Ovis aries: one gene and its partner. The protein of the gene in region 2 interacts with the protein of the main gene of each other region in a pairwise test. Links are inferred from orthologs where the notes say so. Each region holds a gene or a part of one and is shown on either strand. Other genes may lie near its edges.

Region 1 (3,643 bases), on a different chromosome or scaffold from region 2:
ACCCATTGGTGCCTCTGACCCAGACCTACTGGATCCAGATTCCTGGGCGTAGGATGGGAATGTCTCCAGTGCCACTCTATACTGCCAGTTGGGCACCAGAAAACAGGATGGTCCTCTCTTGGAGGCTAGGGACATGCTTGATTCATGCCTCAATCTCACAGTACTGGCCCATAAAGGTACTTAATATTATTGGAGAAATGAAAGAATGAACCATGAGTGGGTGAATCAATGATTCTGAGGTCCCCTCCCACTGCAACAGCCGGTGTGAGTCCTGCACACGATTAGCGTGCTGCACACACATTCACAGACGTGCACATGCACACACACACATACACAGACACACACATGCACACACATGGCGAAGGGAACCCAGCCTGCCACCCTCAGGCAGGTGCTAGAAGGTGGCCTCAGCTGCCCAGAGCTGCCTGCTCCTCCCAACCCCCCTCACTGGTACACACCTCCTTCTTCACTGGCCTGTATTTATTTTGCACCCATTGGGTACGACAGATAGACACTTGTTGGTGACCCTCAAGTGCCAGCCCCACCTGGTGGAGTTGCAGGCCCCAGTGTTTGTTACAAGCATGAAGGAGAAGGCAGGGCGGCAGGAAGGCTGGAGAGGCCGTGCGTGCGTCAGCCAGCAGGCGGGTGGCGAGAGGCCCCTTTTGGCAGGCAGCCGGCTCTCACACTTGGCTGAACAGAGACAATGGTGGCTGCTTGGCAGCCCAGCCTCCTTCCCACAGGCAGAGCCTCGGGTCCTCGAGTGTCCGGAGAACAGCCCAGCTGGGACGCAGCCAAAGGGAGCACAAGGGGCCTTCCCAGGGGGGTGGCAAGGGCCCCTGGGAGCAAGCTGGGGGAGGGAAGGGGTCCCTGAGTGAGTCGTGGAGCTTCCAGGGGAGGAGTGTGTGGGGACAGAGCCAGGCCTTTACCGCCCCTCACAACTCTCCAGAGCCCCCAGGGGACACGGCATGCGTCACCACCTCTTACCCTTAGCCTCCCCAAACCTGGAACACCTCCTTTCCTGCTCTGGGGAGGCAAAGGCCCTTGTTACAGGGCTCTCCACTGAACTCTGGGCGCCCCCTCCCCTTCCGGCCCTCACTGACCACCGTGGGTTTCACTCTGATGATCAGCCGTTGGCCATGGGAGGCTGGGCCTCTCTCATCTGCCCCCTATGTGTGCAGGATGTAGGGAAGACCAGACAAAGGCAGGGGGCCCCAGAGCCAGCCTCACTGAGCCCTTGAACTTGCCGAGTCTCTGCTCCTGCCCAGAAGGCTGTTCCCTGCAGTGGGCAGGGCCCAGCTGGGGTCTCCCAGGACCTCTTCCAGCAAGTCACCTGATTTCTAGAGCAAGACCGCTCCCAGTGCTACAGCTTCCTAGCCTGTCTGTGCCGAGGTCTCTGCTGCCCTGGTCTCTGTCCCCGAGGATGGGGGAGCTCGCAGAGCCTCTGACACTCAGACAGAGGGCTGAGCAACTCCCCAGGTCCAGGAAAGGTGTCCTCTATGGCTTCTGGAGGGATGGAGGGTGGAATGGGATGAACTGTGGGAGCTGAGTCAAGTCTTTGACCTCTGTCCTCTCTTGGGAGGAGCCAGGGTGGGGGCAACAGTATCAGGAGAACTCCAGTGTGGAGAGTGAGGGAGGGAAGGGGGGACCGCACTAGGGTATCCTTCCATGGGGAAGAGGCGGGGCCCCATCCTCAGCACGGACCCGCTGACATAAGGCTCTTCCTAGAGTTTCATCCCAAATCCACCACAGGCCCAGGCCACTGAGGGTAGTTGGTGAGGTGATCCCAGCTTCACAGTTGATTGCGGTTCCGTTTGGGGATGATCTTCCGGTAGGTTCTGCGCTCTGAGATGTTGCGCTTGACCTTGGCCGTGGTGGGGGCCTCATCCTGGTGCAGCGATGGGCTGGAGTGGGACTTCTTCAGGCTGGGCTTGGGCTCCTGCAGGCCTCCAGCTTCCCTCCCCAGCTGCTCCTCCCACAGGTCCAGGTCTTCTGACGGGCAGTGCAGACGGGCCACAAGCAGCTGCAGGTAGGTCTCATAGCGGGTTTTCTGGAACACATATGGGTCCCACTGCCTCAGCAACACCCCAGTTCCAGGTCAGGAGGGGGCTGGGATGGTGAGGGACAGACAGATCACACTGATGCTACAAGGATAGAGACTTCAGAAAAAGGGCTGGGCCAACAGCTAGCATTCACTTGAACAATGATCTCTGCAGATTCTGTCCTTCCCCAGGTGTCTTAGAGTTACACCCATCAGCCTGGCCCTGTTCGATACAGCCAACACTGCCTGGTGCTGTAACTAACATCTCTGGAGCATGTTACGTCGCTAAGACACTAAAAGATCCATAAGCTACTAGGCTAGAGATCTGTGCAGCACTGCACTCGAACAGCACACATCTGTACGCAGCCCTCATTGAGTCTGAACAGCATTTTAACAACTGGCATCTGGAGAGCATGGCGCTAACTACCCTCATCTGCTTAACACTGCTCGGCCCCGTAACTAGCATCCTTCAGACACAGTTCCCAGTTTACTCAGTGCTTTCCCACCCACTGGGTCCTCATCCACGCCCTGCGAGGCTGGGTGGGAGTCATCGCTGTGCTTTATAAAGAGGGAGGGTCAGTGTTAGTCGCTCAGTCGTGTCTGACTCTGTGACCCCATGGACTGTAGCCCGCCAGGCTCCTCTGTCCGTAAGATTCTCCAGGCAAGAATACTGGAGTGGGCTGTCATTTCTTTCTCCAGGCGATCTTTCTGCCCCAGGGACTTAACCCAGGTTCTCCTGCATTGCTGGCAGGTTCTTTACCATCTGAGCTACCAGGTAAGCCCACCAGGGAGGGTCAAGGCCTTGCTAAAGGTCCCAGTGAAAGGTTGGTCAGCGGTGGGGAATGGCTGGAGTGCTGCAGGCAGGGCTGGATCCTATCAGCCACCCCTGGGACCCTGGGGAAGTGGCATGCTCATGGCCATGGATACAGCCAATGCCCCAAGAGGAAGAGCTAGAAAAGGAGGCAGAGGATAGTGCATGGCTGGTGGGCACAGACAGGAGGTGACAATGACGCTTGCTCCCCTCTCCCCTCTTTGCCCCTGGGTGGCCTCTGCCCTCCTCTCTTGTCACACTGCCCCTCACCCACCCTCCTGCTGAATTTGGGGGCAGGATTGGGGGTGGGGTGAGGAAAATATTTCAGCATCAATCAGAGAGCTAATAAAGATCATTCCTTAGTTACGGCCATAAATGAGGCATGGATGTGATCAGGCCTCATGAAAGTATATCAGGTGTGAACAAGTTTAATCTCTCTGTGCCTCAGTTTCCTCATCTGTAAAATGAGGATTAGTGTCCTTACCCCAGAGCAGCTGGATGACTAAATAAGACAATCCATGCAACAAGCTTCAGAAATACTGACTATTATAATAGTACTAGGTAGGTATGAGGGGAAATAATTCTGTTAAAATATAGTTTTTCCAAGACTTCCCTGGCGGTCCAGTGGTTAAGACTCAGCACTCCCAATGCGGGGGTCATGGGTTGGATCCCTGGTCAGGAACTAAGCTCCCATGTGCCAAAAGGTGTGGCCAAGAAAATTATACACACACACACACACACATATACACGTATATATAGTGTATATATATAATAATTGGGCTTCCCAGGTGGCT
Region 2 (4,334 bases):
GGACTATAGCCTGCCAGACTACGCTGTCCATGGGATTCTCCAGGCAAGAGTACTGGAGTGGGTTGCCATTTCCTTCTCCAGGGGATCTTCCCAACCCAGGGATCAAACCCTGGTCTCCTGCATTGCAGGCAGATTCTTTACTGCCTGAGCCATCAGCGAAGCCCCAAGTCTAAAATCCAGACTCCCCTGGAAGTGCCTCCTCGAAAGGAGGGCAGGGTCTGGGTCACAGTTTGACAGATTGGAAGGGTCGCTAGACAGGATCTCATCTGACTTCCCAAGTAAAGACTAAGACCCAGACTGGGGAAGGAAATGCCTGAGGTCACACAGCAAGTCATTTTTAGAGCTGAGGCTCTTTTCCCCATACGTCACAGCATAACATCAAGACCACACCATATATGAGGCTACTTGGGGAGTAAGGTGGGCAGGGGGCAGCCCAGAGGGCCCAAGTGGAGCAAGGGAACAGGCTGAGTCTGTTGGGTGAGTCAAGTGTCCAACGAGTCTTGCTCAGGCCAACCTTATATTCCTGCCCTGGTCCCAGCAAAGTTCTACCACCAACAGCTCTCTTTCCAAGTTCCCCACCCCTTGCCCCCAGCTGCTGTGGTCATCACCTTTCTCTCAGACAAGCTTCCTGTCTCCTGCCCTCAGTCTCCCCATCTGTAAAATGGTCTCCAGGTACTTTTCAGTGGTCCTGAAATTCTAGGCCCGCGCCTCCCACGCCTTCTTACTTTGCCAACAAAGTTCCCTCTAGTCAAGGCTATGGTTTTTTCCAGTAGTCATGAATGGATGTGAGAGTTGGATATAAAGAAACCTGAGCGTGGAAGAACTGATACTTTTGAACTATGGTGTTGGAGAGGACTCTTGAGAGTCCCTTGGTCTGCAAGGAGATCCAACCAGTCCATCCTAAAGGAAATCAGTCCTGAATATCATTGGAAAGACTGATGCTGAAGCTGAAACTCCAATACTTTGGCCACCTGATGCCAAGAACTGACTCATTAAAAAAGACCCTGATGCTGGGAAAGATTGAAGGCAGGAGGAGAAGGGGACGACAGAGGATGAGATGGTTGGATGGCATCCAACCATCAATGGACATGAGTTTCAGTAGGCTCCGGGAGTTGGTGATGGACAGGGAGGCCTGGCGTGCTGCAGTCCATGGGGTCGCAAAGAGTCAGACACCACTGAGCGATTGAACTGACTGACTGACTGACTGACTGGCTCCCGCGGCGGAGCTGCGGCTCTCGGACTCTCAGCCCCCTACCAGGTGGGAAATAAGGGATTTGGGGAGAGAGACAGAGAGGAAGGGACAGGGCGTCCTCGGCTCGGCTCGCGGCCTCGGGGGCGCCCTTTGTCTAGACAGCCTTCGGGAGCTGGGCAGAGGCGGGGCGGGGCCAGAGGGGCGGCGGGGCGGGGCGGGCCCAGGGGCGGGGCCTGATCGGCCCTCGCCCCGCCCCATCGGACGTCGGCGCGGAGCTCGCGCGGGGAGGGGAGGAGCGCGGAGTCCGCGCGCCGCCTGGCCCCGGCGGAAAGTTTTCCCTGACGGAGTTTTTGGCTGCGGCGGAGGCGGCAGCGCGGCGGCCCGGGGAGGCCATGGACGCGCTCAAGTCCGCCGGGCGGGCGCTGATCCGGAGCCCCAGCCTAGCCAAGCAGAGCTGGGGGTGCGGCGGCGGCCGGCACCGGAGTGAGTGTGTGCGCGTCCGCCGGGGGCCCGGGCTGGGGCTCGCGGCGCACGGACCTCGCCTCCTGAGGGGCCCCGGAGTGGGGAGAGAGGCAGGGCCTGACCCCGCGCCCTGTGGCCCGGGAGCGACTTTCCCCGACCCTGCGTGGTTGAGGGTCTCCGAAGGTCACGTCCCCTCTCCAGCCCCCATTCTTTTCGGCGTGGAGGAGGGGCAGGAGCTGGGGGAAGAAACGGGAGCTCGGGGTCCCCAGGTGCGGGCTGCAGGTCGGAGGAGGCGCCTTGCGCGACCCGGGCACCTCCCCTCTTTGGACAGCCAGGGGAGGCGCGAGCTCGGCGTCTGTACCCGGGAGGTGTGGGGGGGAAGGGACGTGGGGCCGGGGGGGATTTGGGAAGACACCCCCACCCCGCGCCCCTGCATTCTGGCCCGCAGTCAGCGGCCGGCGGGCGCCCGCCTCGTCCGCTTCCCCCAGTCCAACCCACGAAGTCAGCTTTTAACTCCCTTGGGCGCCCGGAAACCGACTCAGGTGCGAGCCCGGGCTTCGCCGGTACCTGCTGGAAGTTGGGGGCGGGGCTCAACCTGGGGTCTCAGGAGGTGCCTCCCACCCGCCCCGTCTAGACCCCTCTTCTGGCGGGGTTCAGGTGGCCCGGCCGGCGTCCTGGCTATGTTGGAAACCTGTTTTTATTTCTCGCACTAAGCCGCTTGAGCTTCCGAAGTCCCTAGGCCCCCGGGCGAAAGGCAGACTCTGCCGCCGCCTCTCCCAAGGGGCGTCCGGGAGTCTGCGAGGAACCTCACTGGGCTCCCCCCTCCTCTCCCTGTCTCCAGTTACTCTCAGGGAACCAACCAGTCACCTGGCACCTTCCCCCGCGAGGCCTGAGAAACCCAGCCCAGGTCCCTCCTTTTTCAGGAGGAGTGGCTTGCCTGGGGTCACGCAGCGCTTTACTGGGAGAAACAGCCAAAGTCAGGACTGCTGCACTCTCCCGCCTCCCCTGCCGACAGCCTGGGACCCGGGCCTCTTCCGCACCAGGAAGCCCGCTCTCAGTACTCTCCACCCTCTTCGGTCTTGGCCTTCCAGGGCTCCACCAGGGGAGCCCGAGTTCCCTAGGCTCAGGAGAGGCCCCGGAGTGCCAGCGTGTCTGGGCCTAGGGAGTCTGCCCTGCCCCACCTCTTGCCCCATTCTGCGGTTCCAGCGGTGCCTGCCTCCTAAACCAAGAAAGACTAGCGTTGGGAACATGGGCTGGTGCCTGCTGGCGGGACTGGGGTCAGGCCATTAGGACTGGAGGAGGCCAGGGATGCACCCATCTCCCACATTTATGGACTCCCAAAATAGCTCCTTTAAATATTTGTGGGATTTGATCAGAACTTCAGAGGATGATGGCCCGTTCCAATGGGGAAACCCTGTCGTTTTCTCTAGGGATAAGGGAGGAGCAAGGACAGGGAAGGAAACTTAGGAACACCCCCTCTTTCTTCCCCCACTCAGTATGGGGAAAGGGGAGAAGTAGCCACCTTGGGTGGCAGAAAAGAGTTTCTCCTGCCTGTTCTGATCTTGGACAAGTCACTTGTCCTTTCTGATCCTCAGTTTTCTCATCTGCAAAATCAGGATAAAAACTCTAACCTGGCAGGGATGTGGTTTGTTAGTTTGCTTTTATTTTTTAATTATTTTTATTTATTTGGCTGCCTTGGGTCTGCTGCCAGGGGGCCTACTTTGTGGCATGTGAGATCTTTCCTTGCAGTGCAGCGGGCTTCTTTCTGGTTGTGGCTTGAGGGCTCCAGAGCGTGCCGGCTCAGTAGTTGTGGCACGTGGACTTAGTCTCCCCCACCTTCCCCCCGCATGCGGGAGTCTTTACCATCTGAGCCACAAAAATTTATTTTTGGCTGCGCTGGGTCTTCATTGCTGCGAGTGGGCTTTCTTTAGTTGCGGCAAGTAGGGGCTGCTCTTGCTCGTGGTGGCCAGGCTTCTCATGGCAGCGGCTGCTCTTGTTGCTGAGCACAGCCTTCCCTCGTTGCAGCTCTTGGCTCTGGAGCACGTGGCCTCAGTTTTGGTGCATGGGCTTAGTTGCCCTGCGGCATGTGGAATCTCCCTAGACCGGGGATCGAACCTGTGTCTCCTGCCTTGGCTGGCGGATTCCTATACACTGCACCACCAGGGAAGTCCAGAAGGTATAATAGATTCTTAACCACGGAACCACCAGGGAAGTCTCTCTGGCAGAGGTGTTGAGAAGGTTGTTGACAATAACATTTTCTTCTGGCACCTAACTGGTGGTTTCCTTCTGCCCCACTCCCCCTTCCCCTACTTGTCACGTGGGCCTTCACCGTGACTCTTAATGTAGTGGGACAAGTTTGTGGGGGGCTCAGAGCCTGTCTACAACTGCGTAGAAAAGGATAGGAGAGCCCTGTTCCTCTTAGGCAGACCCCAGTAAGCCAAGAGTACCGTCCTGGAGCCTTCTGGACCTAGAATGAGCTGGGGTGAATCCCCACCTGTCCCTGGTTAAGTCAGTTTTTTGATGTGTAAGTTGTCGATAATAGTAGTACCCAGTTCGGTGTTGTTGCTGTTGTTTGATGCAGGTTAACTGAAAGCATGTTTTCCTGGCAGAAAGAGTTCAATGAATGGCAACTACTGTTTTTGTCACTCTACCTTTTAGGTAGGGTTTTTCTTCCATTATC

Evidence for each region. The genes of interacting proteins can lie anywhere in the genome.
Region 1: the proteins of LDLRAP1 (region 2) and PSD4 interact in binary tests that used the Homo sapiens proteins (3 or more experiments, as listed by UniProt). The two-hybrid records come from large-scale screens. The link is inferred for Ovis aries from reciprocal best matches to the Homo sapiens genes LDLRAP1 and PSD4.

Annotation. Positions count from the first base shown.
Region 1 is NC_056056.1:59,772,180-59,775,822, forward strand, and holds part of PSD4 (PH and SEC7 domain-containing protein 4), read right to left. Parts: intron 2,048-3,643; coding exon 1,790-2,047; 3' UTR 1-1,789. UniProt on the Homo sapiens protein: Guanine nucleotide exchange factor for ARF6 and ARL14/ARF7. Through ARL14 activation, controls the movement of MHC class II-containing vesicles along the actin cytoskeleton in dendritic cells. Involved in membrane recycling.
Region 2 is NC_056055.1:241,243,443-241,247,776, reverse strand, and holds the start of LDLRAP1 (low density lipoprotein receptor adapter protein 1), read left to right. Parts: upstream 1-1,532; 5' UTR 1,533-1,584; coding exon 1,585-1,675; intron 1,676-4,334. UniProt on the Homo sapiens protein: Adapter protein (clathrin-associated sorting protein (CLASP)) required for efficient endocytosis of the LDL receptor (LDLR) in polarized cells such as hepatocytes and lymphocytes, but not in non-polarized cells (fibroblasts).